Linked DNA regions of Macaca fascicularis. The protein of the gene in region 2 interacts with the protein of the main gene of each other region in a biochemical or structural test. Links are inferred from orthologs where the notes say so. Each region holds a gene or a part of one and is shown on either strand. Other genes may lie near its edges.

The links.
Region 1: the proteins of CTSL (region 2) and CSTA form a complex in vitro, tested with the Homo sapiens proteins (2 studies listed by BioGRID). The link is inferred for Macaca fascicularis from reciprocal best matches to the Homo sapiens genes CTSL and CSTA.
Region 3: the proteins of CTSL (region 2) and serpin B3 form a complex in vitro, tested with the Homo sapiens proteins (2 studies listed by BioGRID, with this or other methods). The link is inferred for Macaca fascicularis from reciprocal best matches to the Homo sapiens genes CTSL and SERPINB3.

The regions. Positions count from the first base shown.
Region 1 is NC_088376.1:160,903,850-160,907,497, reverse strand, and holds the end of CSTA (cystatin-A), read left to right. Parts: intron 1-2,835; coding exon 2,836-2,964; 3' UTR 2,965-3,067; downstream 3,068-3,648. UniProt on the Homo sapiens protein: This is an intracellular thiol proteinase inhibitor. Has an important role in desmosome-mediated cell-cell adhesion in the lower levels of the epidermis.
Region 2 is NC_088389.1:118,152,424-118,156,624, forward strand, and holds the start of CTSL (procathepsin L), read left to right. Parts: upstream 1-1,293; 5' UTR 1,294-1,485; intron 1,486-2,753; 5' UTR 2,754-2,763; coding exon 2,764-2,889; intron 2,890-3,193; coding exon 3,194-3,316; intron 3,317-3,416; coding exon 3,417-3,563; intron 3,564-3,747; coding exon 3,748-3,972; intron 3,973-4,201. UniProt on the Homo sapiens protein: Thiol protease important for the overall degradation of proteins in lysosomes. Plays a critical for normal cellular functions such as general protein turnover, antigen processing and bone remodeling.
Region 3 is NC_088392.1:17,181,534-17,185,768, reverse strand, and holds the start of serpin B3, read left to right. Parts: upstream 1-1,417; 5' UTR 1,418-1,533; intron 1,534-2,141; 5' UTR 2,142-2,166; coding exon 2,167-2,331; intron 2,332-2,529; coding exon 2,530-2,586; intron 2,587-3,847; coding exon 3,848-3,976; intron 3,977-4,235. UniProt on the Homo sapiens protein: May act as a papain-like cysteine protease inhibitor to modulate the host immune response against tumor cells. Also functions as an inhibitor of UV-induced apoptosis via suppression of the activity of c-Jun NH(2)-terminal kinase (JNK1).

The DNA.
Region 1 (3,648 bases), on a different chromosome or scaffold from region 2:
TCAGAAAACAATGGCACCATTTCCTCCATTTTCAATCTGATTTCTTCATGGCTGGAAAAGAACGTTTTCCCGTTAAAAATGATTATGTGCAAAGATAGGAAGCATTCCATCAACATTAGAATATTTATTTTAATAATTTATGATTAATTCAAATGCATACATTTCACATGTTACCACATATTACATTTCACATATTACCGCATATTACCAGCTCACATGTCTCTTCAACAGTTCATCAGACAATTATCTTGAAAATTTCTTCTCTTGACCACCCTTTTGCCCTCTCTTAATCAGTCTCTCTCTCTCTCTCTCCTTCTCTCTGTCTCTGTCTCTTTCTCTCTCTGTCTCTCTCATCTTTTCTTCCTTCTGCTATCGAATTTTTCCTATTGGATCTCAGCCACTGATCCTAGTTCCCTTTTACTTCCTGGTAGTCTGGCTGTTGATCCCTTTGCTCTGAGCCACTCTAGATTTAAGGTCTTGCCAGTGACGAGACCTTCTCTATGTATTTCAGGTACCTATCAAGAGGCAGGTGGTACAATGGAAGGACCACAGGCTTAGGTGTCAGAGTGTCCTGGGTTTGAACCCTTGAAGCTCCTCCTCCTCTCTGAGCCTTCATTCCCTTATCTGCACAATGAGGGTAATAATCTGCTTCGCAGGGTGTTGTGAGGAATATATAAGCTGGAAATTTATTGAGCACTTACAATTCACCATGCACTAGTCTAAGAACAGGGCTTGTATTATCTCATTTAATCCTCACAACAAATCTATGAGATAAGTACAATCACTTCTCTTGGGTTACCAATGAAAAAATTGAGCTCCAGGGTGGTGAAGAGACTAAAAAGGTCATACAACTATAAGATCTGAGTCAGGATTTGAGCCCAGATAGACTGAGCTTAACTACTGGCTGTGCTGCCTCTAATATAAAGCACAAAATAAGAGCTTTTAAAAGGTTACACTGGCCTGGTGTGGTGGCTCACGTCTGTAATCCCAACACTATGGGAGACCAAGGCGGGAGTATAGCTTGAAGCCAGGAGTTTGAGATCAGCCTGGGCAACATAGCGAGACCTTGTCTCTACAAAGAAAATGTTTTAATTACCTAGGCATGGTGATGCACATCAGTAGTCCTAGCTACTTGGGAAGATGAGGTAGAAGGATCACTTGAGCCAAGGAGTTTGACATTGCAGTGAGCTGAGATCGCACCACTGCACTGCAGCCCAGGCAACAGAGCGAGGCCTCATTCCCCCATCAGTACCCTCCAAAGAGGTTACACTGTAGAGTGAAAAGAATGTAGATGCTAGAGCCTAACAGATCTGGGTTTGAATATTGGCTGTGCCACTTATTAGCTGAGAAATTTATGGAAAATCACTTAATCTCTCTTACTCTGCTTCCACATCTGTAAAATTTCATTGCTCCACCTTTCTTCAGGCCTATAATATAAGTTAATATAATCATTTATATAAAATGTTCATCATAGTGTCTGGCTAACAGTAAACATTTGATATATGGCATTTGTTAAAATTAGGATAGGAAGTGACATCAGAAGCACAATAAATATTTTTATAAGACAAAGCATTTATTGTCTCAAGCAAGAACCAAAGTAAAAATTCTTACCATAATTTTCCAGGTCTCAGATTCATGTCCAAACTACTGCTTCTGCTTCAACCTTCATACCAATGACTTCCTAGCAAAACCCCTTAGCTTTTTTTTTTTTCTTTTTTGAGACAGAGTTTCACTCTGTCGCTCAGGCTGGAGTGCAGTGGCACAATCTCGGCTCTCTGCGACCTCCATCTCCCAGATTCAAGCGATTCTCCTGCTTCAGCCTCCCAGGTAGCTGGGATTACAGGTGTGCACCACCATGCCCAGCTAATTTTGTATTTTTAGTTTTCACCATGTTGGCCAGGTTTGTCTCAAACTCCTGACCTCAGGTGATCCACCCGCCTCGGCCTCCCAAAGTGCTGGAATTATAGGCGTGAGCCACAGTGCCCGACCCCTTCACTCTAGAAGGGAGGGTGTCTGCCCCCTGGGCTCTGCTCAATCTTACCAGTGGGCGTTTATAAAGTAGGTTCTGATATAGGTATATGAACCCTGCATCCCAAATTTTCTAGGGCAATTCTGATTTTCTTTTCCCTTTTCAGACTGTATGGCAAATAAAGTGTCCCAAGTTGGGAGTCAGAAAACAGCATCACCAAAAATATAGGCTGTCACTGGTTTTCTTGCTCCATGCATCTTTGAAAATGAAATGCTGTCCTTTGTGCCCAGATTATACTAAAAAAAAATAACAAAATAAACCTAGGACTTATGCCTCTTGCCATGCCATTAGTCTACAATTTTTTTTTTTTTTTTTTTTTTTTTTAGGCAGAATCTTGCTGTATCACTCAGGCTGGAGTGCAGCAGCGCAATCTCGGCTCACTGCAACCTTCTCCTCCTGGGTTCAAGTGATTTTCCTGCCTCAGTCTCCCGAGTAGCTGGGATTACAGGCATGCACCACCATGCCTGGCTAATTTTTTGTATTTTTAGTAGAGACGGGGTTTCACCATGCTGGCCAGGCTGGTCTCGAACTCCTGACCTCGTGATCCACCTGCCTCAGCCTCCCAAAGTACTAGGATTACAGGTGGGAGCCACGGCGCCCAGCCTACTCTACTCTTTCTCTCCTAAAATAAGGTGGTGGATTTATGAATACAAAGAGTCTAAGAATGGGTGGACTAGGTCTAGCAATGCTATTCCTCAGCAGCTTTTTGGACAGAAGTCTTTATAGATCTGTAGCTCTCTCACTTGATGTAGACCCATTTGAATAAATCTCCTTTTGTTTTCTCTTTTTTTTTTAATACTTTTCAGGTACGAGCAGGTGATAATCATTATATGCACTTGAAAGTATTCAAAAGTCTTCCCGGACAAAATGAGGACTTGGTACTTACTGGATACCAGGCTGACAAAAACAAGGACGATGAGCTGACGGGTTTTTAGCAGCATGTTCCCAAAGTGTTCTAATTCCTTCCACTGGCTACTGAGTCATGATCCTTGCTGATAAATAAAACCATCAATAAAGAAGCATTCTTTTCCAAAGAAATTATTTCTTCAATTATTTCTCATTTATTGTATTAAGTAGAAATTACCTTTTCTTTCTCAAAATCAGTGCTACTGCTTTAGAGTATAAATTCCATATAAATTGATGGCATTTGGAAATCTTATAAAAACTAGTTAAGCCTAATGCAATTGGCTAAAGGATAGTACACCACACTCACCCCCACCATAGGCAGGCCGGATCATGGACTATCAGTTCATCAGCCTCCTTGTTCCCTGTGGCTGCTGATAACCCAGTATTCCATCTCTACCCTCATATTTTAAAATTAAATCAAGCATTTTACAAAGTGTGTGTATGTGTGTGCGTGTATATATATAAAATATATATATATATATATATATATATATATATTTTTTTTTTTTTTTTTTTTTGAGATGGAGTCTTATTCTGTCACCCAGGCTGGAGTGCAATGGTGCAATCTCGGCTCACTGCAACCTCTGCCTCCTGGGTTCAAGCGATTCTCCCATCTCAGCCTCCCAAGTAGCTGGGATTACAGGTGCCCACCACCGCACCTGGCTAATTTTTGTATTTTTAGTAGAGACAGGGTTTTGCCATGTTGGCCAGGC
Region 2 (4,201 bases):
ACAGTAGTAATGGTTACACAACGTGAACGTACTCAATGCCTCTGAATTCAAAATTGGTTAAAATGGTACTTGTTACGTTAGGTATATTTTACCACTTAAAAAATTATCGGTGATTGTGCTTCTAAAAGAGTTATCAGTTTAATCTTCAGTAGAACTCAACTGACAAACAGAAATACACAATGACTTCATTTTTCACAAAGTCAAAATATGCATACGAAAAGGTTATGGGGGAAAAGGCAGAGGTAATTATTTTTTCCCCGAAAGGTATTTTCTACGACGAATGTTTTTATGTAATAAAAAAATAAAATGACAAAAGTTTAGAATGTTTGTGGGTTTTGTTCGTTAAATGCTTAATTATATAAATTAATATATACATTAGATTAAGATACATATTTTTCCTCTATCTACAACATTTCTGCATTCTCTGTATCTTAAATCCTGACATTAAATGTCATTAAATTTCTTAAATCTCAAGAGAACGACTTGGTTACCAAGGAAGATATAATCCATAACCTAGAGAGTGGGCGAATAAAAGCAGCTTCTAATGTTATCAACTGCTTTTCTCCTGTCAACCAAATGTTTCTGTAAATAACTCCTTTCTGTTGGTTTTGGGAAAGACGTGGGAGAAAGAAGAATCTCTGAATGGAGGAGTCTGGAGAGGATGCTTGACAAAACGCCCGCGCTCTCTGGAGACGCAGCCAGTCTTCTCCCTCCTAGGGTCTGGTCTTGACGATAGCATCTCGTGTTTTGGGGACGCCTTTCCCTACCAGATTCTTCTAAAGCCCAGCTGCACCCACCCTTAAGTGGGAGATAAGGCTTCTGCCCGCGGGCTCTGCGTTCTTCCACCCGGCCCCACCTTTGCTGTGGACTAAACAGGAGCCACTGGACTAGAGTACACTGGCTCTCGGCTATGCGGACCAAAGATTCCAGGACTAAGGAAAAGCTAGGTTAGGCTGAAAGTCCATACTGCGCTTGCTGTAAACGTCTTTTCAGGAGCCACCTGCCCAGTGCAGTAAGTCGGGTACTTAGTTGATTCGAGCGCTCCAGGGAGACGCCCGACCCTACTCTGCGCAGCCTCGGGGTACCAGCTCCGCTTCCCCCAAGTCCACTGAGGCAGGCGCGCCCCGCTCTGGGACAGTCAGTAAACAAGCCACGAACCGCGCCAGGGGTCAGAGTACCCAGAGGCCCCGCCCAGCTGCCGGCACAGCCAATCGTAGCGCAGCCAGGCGGTGGGGCGGTGCCGGCGGAGCCCAGACCCGAGGTTTTAGAGGCAGAGTCGGGCGAAGCTGGGCCAGAACCGCGACCTCCGCAACCTCAAGAGCGGCATCCGTGGAGTGCGCCTGCGCAGCTACGACCGCAGCAGGAAAGCGCTGCCGGCCAGGCCCAGCTGGGGCCGGACAGGGACTGGAAGAGAGGACGCGGTCGAGGAGTTGTGCACCAGCCCTGGCAACGAGAGCGTCTGCCCTGAGCTCTGCCGGCCTTAAGGTGGGGAAGCGGGAGAGGGCAATTAAGGACCCCGCGGAAGCGCGGAGACCACGCAGGCGGGGTCCCTGGTTGAGCGGGCAGGCTAGCCTCCGAGCCGGGTGGACACAGGTACCGCAGCCAGGCCGCGCCGCGCCGACTCATGGCCTGGCCCGGTCAGACAGGGAAGCTCAGTTCCCGCACGCCCGACAGCGGTGCTCCTGCTGGCGTCACCGCAAACATCCTCTGACCGCTGCAGCCTGTGTGTGGCGCAGGCGTCACGTCCCCGGCCTTGCCACGCCTGGAGCCCTGGCAGCTGGCTGCGGGGCGCTGGCTTCCCGCGTGCGGCCATATGACCCCGTCCCTGATTTAGGGGAGCAATTTGGGGTGTCGGCAGCACAGGCCCAGGTGAGTGAAGGAGTGAGCAGTGTGTGCTGTCCTTCCCAGTTTTTCCTGGGAAAGCATTTCAGAAGGGTTTCATTTAAGGAGAGGTTGGGGCAGGCACGCTGGCTCACGCCTGTAATCCCAGCACTTTGGGAGGCTGAGGTGGGCGGATCACCTGAGGTCAGGAGTTCGAGACCAGCCTGGCCAACATGGTGAAACCCCGTCTCTACTAAAAATACAAAATTAGACAGGCGAGGTGGCACACGTCTGTAGTCCCAGCTAGTCAAGAGGCTGAGGAAGAATGGCTTGAACCCGGGAGGCGGAGGTTGCCGTGAGCTCAGATCGCACCATTGCACTCCAGCCTGGGCGGCAGAGCAAGACTCCATCTCAAAAAAACAAAAACGGAGAGGTTGGAAAACATATCTCAGCTTCAGCTGTTTGTTAGTCAAGAAGATGTGTGAAGGCCTCCTAATTCTTGGGGATCTCTTTGTCACTACTTGGGAATCCCACCTTATCATTATTGAGGTTTTGCCTGGGCACAAAACCTGGGATTTTTGCCATTGGTACAAAACCTGGATCAACTGTTTCCTGGTTTCCTAGTTGTTGCCTTAAGCTTCTCACCCACAAGGTGCTTTCATACCTTTCTCATAACCTAAATTATCATCCCATAAACTGTTTAAACTCTTATAGCTCTAGCCAGGCTGCTTTTCATTTTGGTGGGTCCATCCAGCACCTCCATGTGCCCTGTTTTTCTCCAGGCACATCCTTGGCCTCTTCCACAGTCCTTGGGTAAATGCTTGGAAGAATAATTTAAATATTTTTATTCTACGATGGTGGCCCTAATTTTTCAAGGGGCAGTAAGATTGCTTTTTAGGATCAGTCTAATCAGATCCTCATTTCTTTTCTAGGTTTTGAAACATGAATCCTACATTCATCCTCGCTGCCTTTTGCCTGGGAATTGCCTCAGCTACTTTAACATTTAATCACAGTTTAGAGGCACAGTGGACCAAGTGGAAGGCGATGCACAACAGATTATACGGCATGGTTAGTGGTATCTGAAACTTCCCCAGAAAAAATAGTCTTGGCTGTTGAGAAGTTTTAGACAGAGAGTAGCTTCTAGAGGCCAGCTTTCACCAGTAGCCTAATATAATAACCTAATGGCACCGATTATGAGCACAGTATGGGCATTCATCCCTTTTCTGTCTCAATTTGGGGAACAGCATCCCCAGAGGTGTCAAGCCTTCTCTGGCCATGGTTTCTCTTCCGTCTCTGTCTACAGAATCACTTGGTGAGCATGAGTTGGGTTTTAGGTAGAAATAAAGAGCATCAGTTACATGTTTGCCTCTAGAATGAAGAAGGATGGAGGAGAGCAGTGTGGGAGAAGAACATGAAGATGATTGAACTGCACAATCAGGAATACAGCCAAGGGAAACACAGCTTCACAATGGCCATGAACACCTTTGGAGACATGGTGAGTGTGCTGTCGACCGCCGAGCTCTGTGCTTCCTCCCCTCAGTTCTTTACTAAAGTAATCTCTTGCTTTTCAACATTTTATTTCCTTTTCCTTGAAGACCAGTGAAGAATTCAGGCAGGTGATGAATGGCTTTCAAAACCGTAAACCCAGGAAGGGGAAAGTGTTCCAGGAACCTCTGTTTTATGAGGCCCCCAGATCTGTGGATTGGAGAGAGAAAGGCTACGTGACTCCTGTGAAGAATCAGGTGAGACAGTGTCAGGGCCAGACCTCCCATCTTCCCAGGAAAGCCAAGAAGTGATTGACATCTTTGTTTTGGTAGACTTTAAAGCGATGTGCGGTTCACTTTTTAACAGTATTCAGATGTGTGAGCTGTTGTCAAAGTCTTACTATTTTTTTGTGAATGACAGCTTTTTTTATTCCCTCTTCAGGGTCAGTGTGGTTCTTGTTGGGCTTTTAGCGCTACTGGTGCTCTTGAAGGACAGATGTTCCGGAAAACTGGGAAGCTTGTCTCACTGAGTGAGCAGAATCTGGTAGACTGCTCTGGGCCTCAAGGCAATGAGGGCTGCAATGGGGGCCTAATGGATTATGCCTTCCAGTATGTTGCCGACAATGGAGGCCTGGACTCTGAGGAATCCTATCCATATGAGGCAACAGTAAGTGGAGCTCCTTGTCGTCATTCCAGCGCAGCTTTTGGGAGGTGGAACACTTTCAGAGATAACAGATACCTTTTTCGGAATTCATGTATTAGGGCTGGGTGGGGTGGCTCACGCCTATAATCCCAGCACTTTAGGAGGCTGAGCCGGGTAGATGGCTTGAGCTCAGGAGTTTGAGACCAGTCTGGGCAACAAGGTAAAACCCTGACTCTACCAAAACTACAAAGAA
Region 3 (4,235 bases), on a different chromosome or scaffold from region 2:
CCTCTATTCTGGTGGTCAGGGAGATATTGGATTAAATGGCCTTGGACAACAACCCTCTCTCTGGCCACAGACATTCTTCAGATTACAAGATATTCCAGGGAAAACACTGGAATGAGTCTGAAGCCAGGTGCTAAATAGTAGGACCACTGAGCAATGTTGTGATCCCGACAGTTCAAACAACTTATTTTTCTGCTTCATTTTTAAATGAAAAATTTAAAAACTGCCATTCAAAATGGCCCATTTGTTTCAATTGTTCTTCTCAGTGTTAGCCTGTTAACTCAGTGTATTAGTCTGTTTTCATGCTGCTGATAAAGACATACCCAAGACTGGCAAGAGAAAGAGGCTTAATTGGACTTACACTTCCATGTGATTGGAGAGGCCTCCGAATCATGGTGGGAGGCAAAAGTTATTCTTACATGGTGGCAGCAAGAGAAAATGAGGAAGAAGCAAAAGAAAAAAACCCCTGATAAACCCATCAGATCTCCTGAGACTTATTAACTATCACGAGAATAGCACAGAAAAAGACCGGTCCCCATGATTCAGTTACCTCCACATGGGTCCCTCCAACAACACGTGGGAATTCTGGTAGATACAATTCAAGTTGAGATTTGGGTGGGGACACAGCCAAACCGTATCACTCAGCAAGGTAGATAACTTTCTCACTGACTCTATGCAACAGAAAACATCTGGGATGGTTGAAAGGGGCACGGGAGATGACTGGCAGGATCACTGCCAAGGTACAGCATTCAAGAGAAAGCAATAGAATCCTGTTCTCCATAGTATGCTATGAGATACTGAAGTACACTTCTTCGGTATCTCTTTGGACTTAAAATTAGAATTATATTCCTTGTTATACAGAAAAATAACTAATGAAATGCATAGGATGACAAAAACTTTCAGAACCGAAAAACAGGAAATGTAAGCTTTTTAGTTGTTTGGTGTTCAAAGCATGCCTTAAAGACAATGCAACATCCAAGAAAAGAATGGCCCTTTTTCTGTGTTTGTTTTGTTTGTTTGTTTTCTTTTCTTTTCTTTTTTTTTTTTAAACATCTGGAGTTGTATACAAACGAAAGGAGCTGAAATTAATGAGAGGAAATTGGAATTCTAACCTTATTCTCATTGGCAATAGAAAGTCACCGACATTATTTCAAATGAGCCAGTGATTGCTGATTTACATTTTCATTTTTTCCCTATAGATTAAAAAGGAAGTACAATGGTAGAACAGTAATCGTATCCTTTGTCGTAAATGTTCTCACTCATCAAGGTGAGTGTTAGCCTGCTTGTGAAATCTCCTCTCCACAGAGGGAGAGGCAGCAAGAAAGGCACCTACAGGTATTTCAAATAAGCCAGTGGTGCTGATTTGCATTTGCATTTTTTCCCTGTAGATTAAAAAGGAGTGTTAGCCTTCTTGTGAAATGTCTTCTCCACAGAGAGAGAGGCAGCAAGAGGAGAGGCATAAATTCAGGATCTCACCCTTCATTCCACAGACACACACAGGCTCTCTGCCCACGTCTGCTTCCTCTAGGAACACAGGTAAGTGCTTCAAGCCACTCCAGCTTAATAACATGAATTATTTTTGAGAATAATAATGATACTGTGTTCTATATCATGCATCTCCTGCATTCTCTCTGATTATGTTTTACTTATTCTGCCAGGGCACAATTAAAATATCTGTTTCATCTGATTTGTCCTTTATGTAAATTACTTAGTTCCAAGTAAACTAAGGCACCCTGAGGAACACAGAGGGAGAGTGCCTTGCAGCCACAAAGCTTTGAAGGAAACGTCAGGGATTCCTCTTAAGAGCTGGTTGGATGTGATCCACAAAGGTCTCCTGTTAGCATTCATTATAAAGCCTTCCTACCTAGCCCCAGTGTAACCAGCAATGAAGGAAAGATAAAGAGGGTTTATTACTGATTTATAATAGCTTTAAAAACAGTAATTTTGTGAGCCTCTTAATTAGGACATTAATATATTTAATATATGCACATTGTAGAAAGATTGAAACGTTAAAAACGAGAAAAGAAAAACTTTAAATGTCAAAATCTCACAACCCAGATATGTCATTTGTTTAAGAAAATCATACTACAAAATACCACTGCATTTATTAAAGTCATTCTGACAGGAATCTGATGCTTTTCCAGGAGTCCAGATCACATCGAGTTCACCATGAATTCACTCAGTGAAGCCAACACCAAGTTCATGTTCGATCTGTTCCAACAGTTCAGAAAATCACAAAAGAACAACACCTTCTATTCCCCTATCAGCATCACAACAGCATTAGGGATGGTCCTCTTAGGGGCCAAAGACAACACTGCACAACAAATTAACAAGGTAGGTATCAGCTTCATTACGCTGTCCTGTTGCAGCTTCTCTCTGTGGTTCCGGCGGCTCGCATGCAGATGGTAATAGATGTGGTGGCCTGATGGGTAGCACAGGGGGCTGAGCAGGAATTTCCGTTAACTGTGAGCCCACTGACTTAAACAGATCTTTTGAGTAAAGTTTTCTTGTCCCGCTTCATGTCTCTTCCAGGTTCTTCACTTCGATCAAGTCCCAGAGAACACCACAGAAAAAGCTGCAACACATCACGTGAGTCACAGAGCACTTTGGTTCAGCTTTAGATCCCTGAGCAGGTCATAGTTTAAACCTGGAACTTCACAGAAACTAAGTAAAGGCCATTCTTAGGGGAAAGCCTGGATGAAAAGATTGAGACGTACAGAGTGGATTGGCATTTCATGGCACATAATTATTATTCCTCGTTTCTGCATTACTGAAAGACAGTCAGCCCTGTACTTCAGAGCATAGGTCTGGATCAGGATAGGGTGGGTTCAAATTGCAACTTTGCTCTTCACAAATGATGAACATGGCAGGACACAATTGCTCAGAATCCTAGTGACCTCATCCCAGAAAACGAAGGGTAATAAAAAATCTGACTCAATACATGCAAATACATGCAAACATTTCCAACAGTGTCTTGCCCATAAAGTCATAATAAATATTATTATTATAAAATAGCTATAATCATACTAATCACAGTAATATTGCAAAAATAATTAAATTTTAATTGAGTCATTAATGAGATTAAGAGGAATAAGCACAAGTCTATTTTGGAAAATGATTGCTATGGAATATATTGGTTTAGAGCCTTAATAGAGAAAAATGCTTTGCTGGAAAGTAGGAGGTTCTAGATTTAACAGGCTTAGGTTCAAAACTTGGCACTTCTAATTTATGTCTCTATAAATAGAGTTTCTTTTCTATTCTCTGAGCTTTCTTGTTTACATCTGAATTGAACTAAAGACTCAGAGTTACCCATGTAAAGCTCTTACCCATGTACCTGGCACACACTGTTCTCACATGCAGAGAATGACCATCGTGAGGAAAGAGCCATAGATCAGTCAGTGTGTCTTACAAGATGATACTACCAACAGGTATAACAGGGCTCCCTGGCATAATCTATTTAAAATATCCAAACTTAAATATACTCATATTCTTGATGTCTGTTAGAAGTGTAATGTGGTCCTTGTCCTTAAGGAACTGACAGTTTAACTGGGAAGCAAACCTAACCCTTTAAGCCAACAAGGGGAAAACCCAATGGTAGACAGTGCTGCATCTTTAGTTCAGAAGAGAGAAGATTGGAGTACATTAGTGCAGGAAGAATTTTCTGGAAGAAGTCAAACGTAAGGTAGATTTTGAAGAGTATTTGAGGTGAAATACACCAAGTATCAGGGAATAAGCATAAAGGTCATCATTGAGGATACCAGCCTTTAGGAACTGATCTAACAGACTTAGCACGGGTTTAGAATTTACACCGATGCAGTAATTCAGTGATCTGCTTTTTTGACATTTGAAGGTTGATAGGTCAGGAAATGTTCATCACCAGTTTCAAAAGCTTCTGACTGAATTAAACAAATCCACTGATGCATATGAGCTGAAGATCGCCAATAAGCTCTTCGGAGAAAAGACGTTTCAATTTTTACAGGTAAATTTCACCTGACCTACCCACCTTTCGTCTGCAGCCTGGTGTCTGTGTCCCTGAGTGGCCTAATGGAAGAAAGCAAGGCAGATGAGCCTGGCCGACCCAAGTGGGGAGCATTTACTCAGAGTGCTTTAGCTCCGTTTCCACAACTCTCCCCCACTGGAGTGTTCCAGACCCTGACAATACATCAGTGAAGTGTGCATTTAGGGATAATCTTGTAAAAAAGAGGAGGTTGGGTAGTAGAGTGAGTAATAAGATACCA